Sus scrofa: one gene and its partners. The protein of the gene in region 1 interacts with the protein of each later gene in a pairwise test. Links are inferred from orthologs where the notes say so. Each region holds a gene or a part of one and is shown on either strand. Other genes may lie near its edges.

Evidence for each region.
Region 2: the proteins of KPNA5 (region 1) and NUP50 interact in binary tests that used the Homo sapiens proteins (3 or more experiments, as listed by UniProt). The two-hybrid records come from large-scale screens. The link is inferred for Sus scrofa from reciprocal best matches to the Homo sapiens genes KPNA5 and NUP50.
Region 3: the proteins of KPNA5 (region 1) and ANP32B interact in binary tests that used the Homo sapiens proteins (3 or more experiments, as listed by UniProt). The two-hybrid records come from large-scale screens. The link is inferred for Sus scrofa from reciprocal best matches to the Homo sapiens genes KPNA5 and ANP32B.

The regions. Positions count from the first base shown.
Region 1 is NC_010443.5:44,931,119-44,934,722, forward strand, and holds part of KPNA5 (importin subunit alpha-6), read right to left. Parts: intron 2,377-3,604; coding exon 2,275-2,376; intron 2,159-2,274; coding exon 2,059-2,158; intron 1-2,058. UniProt on the Homo sapiens protein: Functions in nuclear protein import as an adapter protein for nuclear receptor KPNB1. Binds specifically and directly to substrates containing either a simple or bipartite NLS motif.
Region 2 is NC_010447.5:4,216,535-4,220,801, forward strand, and holds the start of NUP50 (nuclear pore complex protein Nup50), read right to left. Parts: upstream 2,877-4,267; 5' UTR 2,398-2,876; intron 1-2,397. UniProt on the Homo sapiens protein: Component of the nuclear pore complex that has a direct role in nuclear protein import. Actively displaces NLSs from importin-alpha, and facilitates disassembly of the importin-alpha:beta-cargo complex and importin recycling.
Region 3 is NC_010443.5:239,840,628-239,844,908, reverse strand, and holds the start of ANP32B (acidic leucine-rich nuclear phosphoprotein 32 family member B), read right to left. Parts: upstream 2,848-4,281; 5' UTR 2,492-2,847; coding exon 2,438-2,491; intron 1-2,437. UniProt on the Homo sapiens protein: Multifunctional protein that is involved in the regulation of many processes including cell proliferation, apoptosis, cell cycle progression or transcription.

The DNA of each region.
Region 1 (3,604 bases):
TTTTCATGAAATGCAGAGGACTTTTGAGAACCATAAAACCTCTAAGAAATTTTAAAACAAAGACATGCAAACTTGACAGAAAGGCATTTCAAGAGCTGTGAACTATTTTGACAGGAATTCACAAGAATCAGTAAAAGAAAATATTTATAATTTCTGCTATAAGCCCAACCTGGACAAGGCCAATCCCACTATAAGAAGGAGAGAAATCATTGATTTTATAAAAAGAAGATACTACATTAGAAAAAAAATAGAATACTCTGAGGAATTAGGACAAATGAAGATAAAATCTTACAACAAAAGAATTAAATAATAGGGAAGTTGGGATATTAAAAACTGGTTGCAAACTAATATTCTTAAATAGAATTAAATCTAAATTAATTCTGTTAATTAGTTATAATAATGCATATACCAAAAGAAACCTTGAAAGAGAATGTGATAAAATGAAAAATTAACGTTATTAGTAATACATTTAAATCATTTTTAAAATTACTTTTAAAAATTAATGTTTTATTTAAAAAATATTAATCTGGGAGTTCCCACTGTGATGCAGTGGGTTAAGAATCTGACTGCAGCAGCTTGGTCACTGTAGAGGTATGGGTTTGATCCCCAGTTGGCACACTGGGTTACCACAGCACAGGTCAGCAGCTGTGGCTCGGATTCGATCCCTGGCCTAGGAACTTCCACATGCTCTGGATGCAGCCATAAAAAAAAAATTAACGTGACCAAAAAAATAATCCAAATTAAAAACACAAAAACTGTGGATGGTCAGGAAGAGGAAACCATTCTTGATCATATAGGATTTCCTAACATTGCTAAGCTACTTCAGCTTGGAAGATAAGGGATGGAAAACAAAAGTTAAATGTACTTATGAAAAAGAAGTACAATAAGAAAGCAAAAGTAAAAGCCTTGTAATCTATGCTGACCTGAACACAACAGTTCTTTTACTCCTTATATGTTACTAGATATTGTCTCCCTTAGGAAGATAAGGTGGCTAGCCAAGGGCAATTTCAAAATCTTAATACAAGCAGATATAATTAAAATTACTAATCCTATAAATTCAATACATGAAAGACAAGATAGACTTAAGGATTATATTTTTGTTTAATAAGGAACTTTTATAAACTTAAATTAGATGATTAGATAAATTATAAATTAAAAAGGTCAATAATTGAAAATATTCAATTTAAGTACTCAAAAAGATGCCATACAATGTTACTATTATACAAACATTATTTTCTTTTTTAAAGATAATTATACTAGTAAGAATATAGTGAAATGGGCGTTCCCGTCATGGCACAGCAGAAACCAATCCAGCTAGGAACCATGAGGTTGCAGGTTCGATCCCTGGCCTCGCTCAGTAGGTTAAAAGGTCCAGCATTGCCAGTGAGCTGTGTTGTAGGTTGCAGATGAGGCTTGGATCTAGAGTTGCTGTGGCTCTGGCAGAGGCCAGCGGCTACAGCTCCAATTCGACCCCTAGCCTGGGAACCTCCATATGCCGCGGGTGTGGCTCTAAAAAGACAAAAAAAAAAAAAAAAGAATATAGTGAAATGAAATAAATACCTATACAAACTAAAGATGGGAGTATAAATTAATACACTGTTTATTCCCTTTGACCCATGATTTTACTTTTATAAACTCATACTAAGGAAGTTTTGGATTGTACAAGGATTTATGTAGCTTTGTTTATGATAATCAAAAACTGTGAAAAATGAAATATCTGATTAAATTATTTTACAGTCATGCTCTGATGTTATGCTGCCATTTTTTTTAATCTGAAAATTATTTCTAAAAGAATTAAGAATATGTATCTCTAATTTGTTTCTTGGCAGGGGGACTAATGATTTTTATATTTGCTTCTTTAAATTTTTTTTATATTTGTAGATACTCTACAATCAACATGTGTTACTTTGATAATGTTTTAAAAAAGATGTGATTTAAAAATACATTTTAGAGAAAAATTAACTACTGGCAAAGAAAAATGCCTTAAAATGAAAAAAATCTAACAAAACTCATAAATTCTTAACAATATCAAATAACCATAATGAAAATCAATCTTGCCTTTAGAAAGCAGCTTTCTAAATTTCTGTGTTGCTGTTAGCTGTTGATCAGCATTATTAGAAAAAATCATCTGAACCATATCTGTGGTAATAACTTCTTCCTAAAACACAGAAAATATAATTATTATTTAAATATTTTGTATTAGTAATTTTGCTGTATCACCATCTCTGAAATATTATTGAAATACAATTTTAAATACACTTTTGTAATATCTACCTCTGGAATGGGTACAGTGGAAGTGATATCTGGATCCTGGATAGGACTTTCTAACATAGATTCGTCACTTTTGGGCAAAGAGACATTTCTGCGTTTGAATAACTGTAAAAAAGAGAAATAACCTTATATGTTGAGCTTTCCATAAAACATAAATTCCTATAGAATTATATTTTCCTTTAAGTGAACAAAACAATAATCATATAACTAAAATTCTGAATATTTCAGTATTTTTTTTAATATTTCAATATTTCTTAATCATTATACCACGAACACCTAAATTATCTACGAGAAGTTAAACTTTCTGGGCTAGATTAGCTCTTGCCCTTTATTTCAGCTTTCGGTCATTCTTAATCTCAGATCTTTTACCAATGGCCAGTCCCATAAGCAGAACAACATTTAGATTTTACAACATTTTAAGAAGCACATATACCTATACTAGATTATAAAATGTTTAAAAATGTTTCCAAGAAAATCTTAATTAAAAAGCAAACTATTACATTAGTGAGTTAATGTGTACATTAACAGAGCTGGTAACAGATTAACAAAGAAGAGAATTCTCAGAAAAGATGTCCTGATGCTTATTAACTCAGGAATGAATAAAGGAAAAAAAAAAGAGGAGCAAAGAGTCTTGATCAGATCACTGGGGAAGATTTATAGATACATCTTGTACATCAAAATTGAGGGAAAAAATCTGATATCATATTCTTTTTCATAGCTAAGTAAGTTCTGTTGTTCCTCAGTCTATATACAGTTCTCTTTCTTTTTTCTTTTTGTCATTTTAGGGCCGCACCTGCAGCATACGGAGGTTCCTGGGAGGGGTTGAATCAGAGCTACAGCTGCCGGCCTACGCCACAGCAGCACCAGATCCGAGCCATGTCTGTGACCTAAACCACAGCTCACAGCAACACTGGATCCTTAACCCACTGAGCGAGGCCAGAGATCAAACCTGCGTCCTCATGAATACTAGTCAGATTCGTTTCTGCTTAGCCACGAAGGGAATTCCAACACAGTTCTCTTTCTAACCATTCATTCAAATGATTTTTTTTTTCCCCTGAGTTCTTAACTATAATAGAGAGTATACTCTATTATAGCATATAATTTGTCATCTAATATACCACAAATAGGGGGGTAACAAATCATAATCATATTTCTAAAACAGGCTTTTTTCTACTTTCTTCATTGTTAGCCTTTTTCACATGTAAGTTTTAATCCAGGTATGTGAGGAGCACAACCTCCTAACTATTTATGAATACCTCTAAATTTAAGTATTACTGGAAAAATGTTGAGATACACTCTTTTAAATGAGTTTTTTTCTATTCCTTACGTCATA
Region 2 (4,267 bases), on another chromosome or scaffold:
CTAGGATCCTGCGTTGCTGTGGCTCTGACGTAGGCTGGTGGCTGCAGCTCCGATTGGACCCCTAGCCTGGGAACCTCCATATGCCACAGGTAAGGCCCTAAAATGACAAAAGACAACAACAACAACAACAAAATAATTGCGATTATCCCCCCAATCCTAAGATCATATCCTTCACTATTAAAAATAAAACAATAAATGGAGAGTGTTGTTTTGGATTCTTCCCTGACCCACTAGCTAAATGGATGAAAAAAAATCCCATTTTTTGCCCAAAAATTTATCGATTACTTTGGGACACTAGCTAGTGTTCCCGAAAATCAGCCTACATTCCTTCTACCTTTCCCACTCTTATCTCCCCTCAATCAACACAACCCACCTGAAGAAGTTTCTAGAACCTCCTGGTCATTAGATACAAACTTAAACATTACCCACTGCACTTCAGTGTCTACAAAATAAAATCCAGATGCTGGCATTCTAAAGTCCTCCAAAATCTGATCCCCTGTAGGGTAATTACATAAGCCTTTTCAGCTTTTAAAAGTCTCCTACTAACCTCTCAATTTTTCTTTTATAAGCGGTTTTTTTTTTTCTGGTAACAGAACAAATGGGCCTTAAAGTCTCAGATTCTAAGACATAAATGAGAATAAATATAATAATTTTCAGTCATTACCTGCAAATGCTCTTTTTTTAATGCCTTCATCCCCAACACCTGGTCAAGTTTTGCTATTAATCTGTGTCATCCAAAAAACAAACAAGGTATCCTTACACCTAAATCCTTACTAAACTTGAACTGTTCAGAGGCCAGCTCTCTCTCTCTGTGGAGCCTTTTTGGCCATTTTCCTACAGTAACTAACACCACTAGAGGGCAGCAGAGCAGAGAAGTTGAAACAGTCATTTTTGCTATTAACTACTTAGCAGTTACTAAGATTAACTGACAAAAAGAGATGGAGCTGAAAGTGCAAAAATGCAGTAAGAGAAAAGTTTTAACTTCTAACTCATACCCACAAGTGAAAAGATAACTGGCATAAACAACCTAAGTTCAATAGCTGCTTCCATGGTCTATCAGGTGACTAACCAGAGGGCAGGTATCTGCCTCTCACTCACATATACTGGGAATGCCCCACGCCCACACACAGGCAGGTGTTCTAGCTATTGTAGGATCAGAGATCTCAGCACTACACATTCCAGAAACTACTACAAGATGCTAGCATCTAGTTTTGCCATTTTGTTGCTGTAAACCTTGGGCAGGGCACTTAATTTCTGCGCCTCGGTTTCTTCATCTGTAGAACAGGGAGGTGGTATGAAAACTGAATAACGTAAACAAAAAGCACAGTTTAGACCAATGCCTGGAACAGAGGAAGGACTCGATACATATTATTAAAGGAACGAGTTCTGTTAACAGCAAAGATTATAATCTTTTCCTCCCAATCGTCGCTGTAAGTACAGAAAAACAAGATTAACTTGAATTATGAGTCAGGCTTTAAAAAATACTTTGCCAAATCCATATTTTATTTCAAAGCATGAGTCTTCATACAATAAATTTTCTTTTAATGCCTGGGGGGGGGGGAATTCCCTGTACTTAAAAACAGGGAAGGCCTGGCACCTAAAGAGTCTTAAATGCTATTATTCTTAAGATCTTAAATTTCTCGGCTTCTAGTTAAAAATGTTATCAAGTTATGAAATGATTACCAGGTATGAAGCAGACCCTGCGATCGGAAGTCCAAACTTTTGGTAACTGGGCACACCTTTATTTGTGCCTGACACGGTTCGCTTCGCGACCTCTGCTTACCCCGATGCTACCCCATCCTTGGGGGTTAACGTCAACCCACCCCGCTTTGCCCGAAGACTTGACCGCACTTGAGGGTGTGATGCCCGGAGGAACCAGGGTGGACCCCGGGGGCTGAAACGCTAGGGAAAAGGAAACCGCTTCCCACTGGACAGAGCAAAGGGGGGATCCACGGCCTGGGAGCGCGGCGACCAGAGTGAGGCCAGGCCCAGGAGGAGGTGCAGGGGGCGAGGGCAGCGGGACGAGCGCCGAGAGGAATCGCTGGGAAACAGACCGAGAAGGCTTGGCCCGGGCCGCCCCTGCCCGCGCCGCCGCCTGCCTCCGCCGGGGCCACGGGGGCCCCGCTCCCGGGCGGGCCTTAACGCACGTCGGTCACCGCAGCGCCGACGGTCAGCTCCGAGCCCGGCTGGACAAACACCCCGATCGCGTCGCTGCCGACACCCCGCCCCCCCCGCCCCGGTCGCACCCCCGCGCCCCTCCCCCAGCCGGGACCCCGCACCCGGCTCCCCCTCCCAGACCCGAGTCCCGCACCCCGAGCCCGGGTTCCTCCCCCCAGACCCCGGCCTCTGCGCCCGGCCGCCCCCCCTCCCCTTCCGCGCCGCCCGCCCGCCTCTCACCTCCCCGGCGGCCGCCGCAGCCCTCGCCGGGTTGTGGGCGCCGCGAGGCCCGGCCGCGCAGCGGCGATCAGGTGCGAGGGCGCTGCCGCGGCGTTCGGCTCTGAGGCGGCGCGCGGTCGCTTCCGGTGCGCGGAGAGCCTCGAAGGATTCGGTGGTCCGCACGCCCTGAGTCGCCAACACCATGTCCCTCGGGGGCCTCACCCCTCTGTGTTCGGCAGGGATGGGGACAGCCGTCCGTTCAGTCAGAGGCCGCTGAGGGAACAGCGCCCAACACACCCCAGGCCGCCATTTTGTAACTCGAATCTACCCCTCAAAACCAATTCGGAAAAAAGAAGGAAAGAAACGCCCGCGTCGAGCTACTGCGCACGCGCGCCGGAGCCTTGCCTCGCCGCACCTCCCCCAGCGGGCAAAGGGCGTCACGCTGCGCATGCGCCCAGCTGCTTCGAAACCGTCGACCGAGAAACGCACCCGTCTCACGCATGTGCGCGCGCATGCGCACACCCCATGCGCCGGCCTCGCGGGAAGCCGGCAGCGGCGGCCGGGGTTTGCGGGCGTTGGTCACGTGTCGCCCGTCGCCGGCGTTTGAGGCGTTGGGCGCGGGTTGCTTCCGTGGCTGGGCGCGGCTGACATCTGCAAGGCGCCGGGGAGAATGGGGTCAGGCAGGCATCGTGGCCGGGGCTCGTGATGGAAGGCTGACAAGAGACAGGCCATGACTCCCGCAGGCGTGAGTGGACGCCGGTAGAGGCACGACGGGAGCTCGGCGCCGCCGTCCGTCTGCGAGAGCTCCCCGGGTGGCCTTGCCCGGTGGCCGGCAACGTGCCCGCCCGCTGCGGATGCTCGGAAGGCCTGGGATCGCAGAGCCGGGAGGGACGGGCGTGGGCGAGAAGAATGTCACCCCGTTCGTCGCCGTTCTGCGGCCAACTTGTGCTTGTTTTCCGCGGTGGGTGTCATAGAGGCGAAGTGACACCTAATGGGGGTCAATGAAGACGAAATCTGCAAACGCGTTTTTATTTTTAAAAAATTAAAAAAAACTTTTTTAGGGCCGCACCTGCGCCATAGGGAGGTTCCCAGGCTGGGGGGGATTCGGAGCTGCAGCTGCTGACCTACCCCACAGCCACAGCAAAGCGGGGTTAGAGCCGCGTCTGCGACCTACACCGCAGCTCACGGCAACGCCGGATCCTTAACCTACTGAGCAAGGCCGGGACTGAACCTGTGTCCTCCTGGCTGCTAGTCAGATTTGTTTCCTCTAAGCCTAAACGGGAACTTCTGCAAACGCGTTTTTAAATTGTGGGACTAATTCGTGTGTACGGTTCCGGAGTTGTATCGATGCGATTTTGTTTGAGCTGTTCAGCATCTCAAATACCACGGTGTAGTATTTCAAACGGTACAGTGGTGGGTTAAGCTGTACAAAGCAATTCAGTTTTAACTCCTTGCCTAGTGGTTAATAGACACAGTTGGAATTAGACCCATGATTACTTTAGGAAAGTTGCTTTAAAAAAAGAACATTCCCTTTTTGGGGGAGCACCTGCTGCATTCGGAAGTTCCTAGCCAGGGATGGGACCAGAGACCAGAGTCACAGCAGTGACAATGCGGAGTCCTTAACTGCTAAGCGACCAGGGAACTCCCGGAAGAGGAACATTCTTAGAGCAGCGGTTCTTAACCCCCTTCTTTTTTTTTTTTTTTTTTTCTTTTTTCAGAGAGAGCTTTATTGCTATACTTGAAAATGCAAACAAAGTTTGTGCATGCATTCAGGTAGGAAACCAGTGCGTGTAATTTCAGGGTGTTTATGAACCCTCCCCAAAAGCCTATTCAGGGACTCCTGTTAAAGACTGTTTATCTGGATACTAGACTATACATTATAAGAGTTAAC
Region 3 (4,281 bases), about 190 Mb from region 1:
GCCCTGGCATGCTGTTGGCAAATATTTATTTAATAAAACCAGTGAATTACTGTAGAGCAGTACTGTCCAATACAGCAGCCCCTAATCATTTGGGACTTCTGAGTACTTGAAATGTGAATAGTGCAACTGGCAAAATGACCTTTTAATTTAAAAAGCCACATGACTAAAAACTGTTTTGGCAAAAGGGTAAGGCTTAAGTTGATTTCATGGGAAAAAAAATAAAAGGCCCAACGCACATAAATATGCATTTTAAAAATCAGTATTAGTTATTTCATGTGCGAAAAAATTCCATATACACCACCAGCTCAGTTGTATTTCTTCTCAGAGGGAGCCACAGAGCCCTTAGCCGAGTATTTTAATACTGTTCTACACACATTGCTAAAATCCAAATCCCAGATCTTAAGGCACTTTAAAGAACCATATACGTATTTTTCTTTTTGGAAACTCGGGTAAATTTAATTACTCACGTTCACCTGATTTGGACCTGAGCAGTAATAATTCAAATGTCTTAACTCTTCTCAAAATTAGGTTGCAAGTTTCAGTGTGAAGAGGCTTAAAGGTTCAATGTACTAGCACGTGGCCGACACAAAATGTCTGACTGATGGACGGAAGGGACGACCGCGGTCAAATCTCAACCTTAAAACTCAGGGGACAGAGTCGAGACGCCCACCACCAGAGGTCTTCCAGGGAGAGGTGGGAACACCAGATGCAGCAGGGCCGCACCTCATTTGTGGGGACCTCAGAGATTTAAAACCCCTGGCACACCAGGGAAAGCCTGCTTGACGAATTCCCACAAGTTGGCAACTTGTTACCCAACGCTACCTGACTGCCCGAAACGCGCCCGTCTCCAGTGTGGGGCGCAGGGGCGGGAGGGGGTGGTGAGGGCTTTCCCCGGGCCGCCCCTCTGCCAGGGGACGCCACTCACCCGCGGAGGGGTTCTGGCGGAGGCGCGGCCTCCCAGCGCTGGCGCCAGGAAACATGGCCCCGCGCCCTGCCGCGGGAAGCCGCTCTACTTCGCGGGGAGGGCGGGGTAGAGAATAAAGACGTGACTCTTCAAGGCCCACCAGCGACTCACGGAGCCGCGGCAGGCGAGCACCGGCCTGGATCTGCGGCTCTGAAGCACGTGCGGGGCAGCGCCCGCCCGGCAAGCAAGCACAGCCGAGGCCCGTCTGTACCCGCGACTAGGGGCGGAGGCGGCCGCCTGCCGTTGCCCTTTTAAGAAGGGGGGAGGGGGCGGCAGCGCGCCCGAAAGATGAGTCGGCGACGGCCGGAGCGCTCGGCTCCCGCCAGTGCGAGCCGAGCCCTGGCGAGGCCCGCGCCAAACAAACCGCAGGCTCGGCCAAGGGAGCGGCGGCTCAGAGCCACCGCCGGTGCGGGCGGGCAGGGCCGGACGGACAGAGCCCGCAGGCCGACTCACGCGGCGGAAGGAGACGGGTGCCCGCCAACATGGCGCTGCGTCGGCCTGTGGCGCGCCTGGGCTGACGCGAGGAGCCGCCGCCCGCCCACACCGAGGGGCCAACCTCCCGGGCAGGGGCCCCCGGGCTCCGCCGCCGCGGCGCGGGGGGGAGGGAGAAGCCGCTTACGCCACAACTGCTAGCTCGGGCCGAGCGCGGCCTGCATTTGGAGACCGGGACTGGGGAAGGCCTGGGGGTCGAAAGGGGCGCGAGAGATAGGTAGACAAAGTTTTATTTTTAGGCTTGAAAAATGGCGGGAACCGACTCCTTTTTTCAAACTTGGCCTCGGGAGGGGCGTCGGTTGCGCCACCTCCGCCACCCGGGCTCGCCCCTCCCCAGCTCGCGCGCGCCAGGCCGCGCCCGCCCAAGCCCCCCGGCGCCCGAGGGGGCTTCCTGTCCCCCTTGGAGGCAAAGAACCCTCTGTTCGTCCTTCCGCTCCCGTCCTGGCCGGACCGGCGCCAACCGCGAGACCTGGCTGGAGGAGCCTCCTGCTCCGCCCGAGCCCCCTCCCGGGCCGGCCGGGGGCACGCGGAGGCCGGCCTGGCCCGCAGCGGGCCCAGTCCGGACTGGCAGCGCGGCTCCTCCGTAGGCCCGGCCTCCGCCCGGCCGCGCATCTCGGGAGGCTGCAAACATGGCTCCCAGCGTTACACAACCCCCTCCTCCCTCTCTTGCCGCCGGCCACACGCACACGCGCTCCTTCGGGAAAGGACCCCGGCGGGCGAAGAGCTCAAAGTTTGCTTTCCCCCACCCCACCGCCTTCCCTGGACGGCCGCAGGGGCCCGCGGGCGCCAAAGAGTTAATCCCGCGCGCTCGCTCCCCCCTCCGCGCCCGCCCGCCTGCCCGCCCGCCTTTCCCGTCCGAGCCCGCGAGCTGCGCTCTTGCCCGCGCCGGGGTCGGCGAGCCCGCGTCTGGGACCCCGCAGGTGGCCACCATTACATGCAAGTCATCGGGGGGAGAGGGAGCCCGAAGGGGATTCTGCTTACAGCTGCCGGGGTCCGGTTCCTCAGCTCCAGGTGGATTCTCTTCTTCATGTCCATGTTTCCCTCTTCCCCCCTCTTCAAACTTAACTTTCCGCAACGGGGGCGGAGGGGGGAGAGGCTCCCAGCCTGCGCAGCGAGGGCCGTCGGAAGGGGTCTGCTCGAGGCAGAGGCCGGCGGCGCGGTCCGGGGCGGCTGGCGGCGTGCGGGCAGGAGAGCGGAGCCCCCGGAGCCAAGTTACTCACGGGAGCGGAGAGAAACCATGGAGGGAAAAGGGGGCTGGAGCGCAGCGCTGGTCTCACTACCGCCGCCCCCGGCCGCGGCTCCGCACTGCGCTTAAACCGGCGACGCGGCGCGGGTGGCTGCTCGGCTCGACTCGGCCCCGCGCGGCGCCGCTCGGCTCGGCAGCCGCGGTGCACCAAGGACGGGGCGGGGAGAGGCGCGGCGGGAGGGGCGGAGGCTGGGGGGGAAAAGGCGCAGCCCGGGGGACAGGAGTGGCTTCTTCCCGCCCTCCGGTCGCACGTGGGGTGGCTGATGTAAGACCCACCTCGGGGGCTTCCCCGCCCGTCCCCCAGCTGAGACCTTGGGTCTTTCCTCGACGCGCCTGGAGACAGGTCTCCAGCCCGCGCTTGGAAGTCGGCCGAGCGGGCTGCGGGGAGACTTTGCGGTCGGTCTTGGGAGCTCTCTAAGGCCAAGCCCTCGCGCCGAGCCTCGGCCAGGCCAACCCGACACCGGCGAAGGCGGCAGACTTGAGAGCGCGGGACCGGGGCTTTCGGGGTCACCTCCCGCTCCCCTCCAACTACAGCATGGGGCCAACAGCACGAGACCTGTGTTTCCTTGGCCAAGTGGGGCTGGAAGTGCTGTGAGGACCCCCGTTGGGGGGCAGAATCGCTGCCGGCCCGCGCTGTAGCGCGTGGCACTTGGCGGAGTCGGCCATTGAGACCGATGGGGACGGGGTAGCCCCGGCCGCTTGCTCAAACCGCAGAGATGCGAGCGTTCCAGAGTTCGGGAGAATCTCCCTGGGTTTTCTAACATTAAGTATAGGCTAGTGGAGGCAGTAATTAGCATTTCTAATGGAGCCTCGAAGTTTACCGAGGTTCCTCAAGACTTTTATCTCCTTTATTTTTAAGGGCACCCCTCTGAGGTGTGTGGATTCTTGTTGGTCTCCAATTCGGGGAAGCTTGGCAGGTAGCTTTTGTCATGGGCTGCCTCAAAAAGCTCCCTGAGAGACAGGGTTAGAGCACTAAGTCGGTTTTGCAGACCTCTGGGGAGTAATATGAAGTTACATTCATCTTAAAATAAGTACATAGTCACGTGTCAAATCAGATACCATCTTAATTCTAGTATAGAGAAGAAGCTCCAAGATTGAGAACAATTTAGGAATAGAGAAAAACAACTCTATGGCATTACCATAAGTTTTTCTTAAAGTTAAGACTCCTCTCTTTCACCTAAGTTCATTTAGTGGCAAACAAAACTATATCGATTTTTAAAATATCAGATGCATGAAAATGTCAAAGCAGAAAATTTTCAGGAGGGTTATGGAAAAAGGCAAAAACTTTCTAGTATGTAGTTCCCTTGTATTTTAAATGTTAGTCTTAGCAGACATTTTTGTGATGGGGAAATGGTGAGGGCAGTGCTCTTCAGGATGTCGCACGAGGTCTGTAACTAAGGTTATGAGAACCACAAGACTATGAGATGAAGGCTTTTACGAAAAACTAAACTTAGTTCCATGAGCTAACAAGCAATTCGTGTGCATCCACTTTTAGGGCTTAATATGTTCTTTCAGTCATTGCACAAATGAGGAACTGAAGCCATGGGGCCAACAATAGGTGGAGCTAGGGTTTAAACCC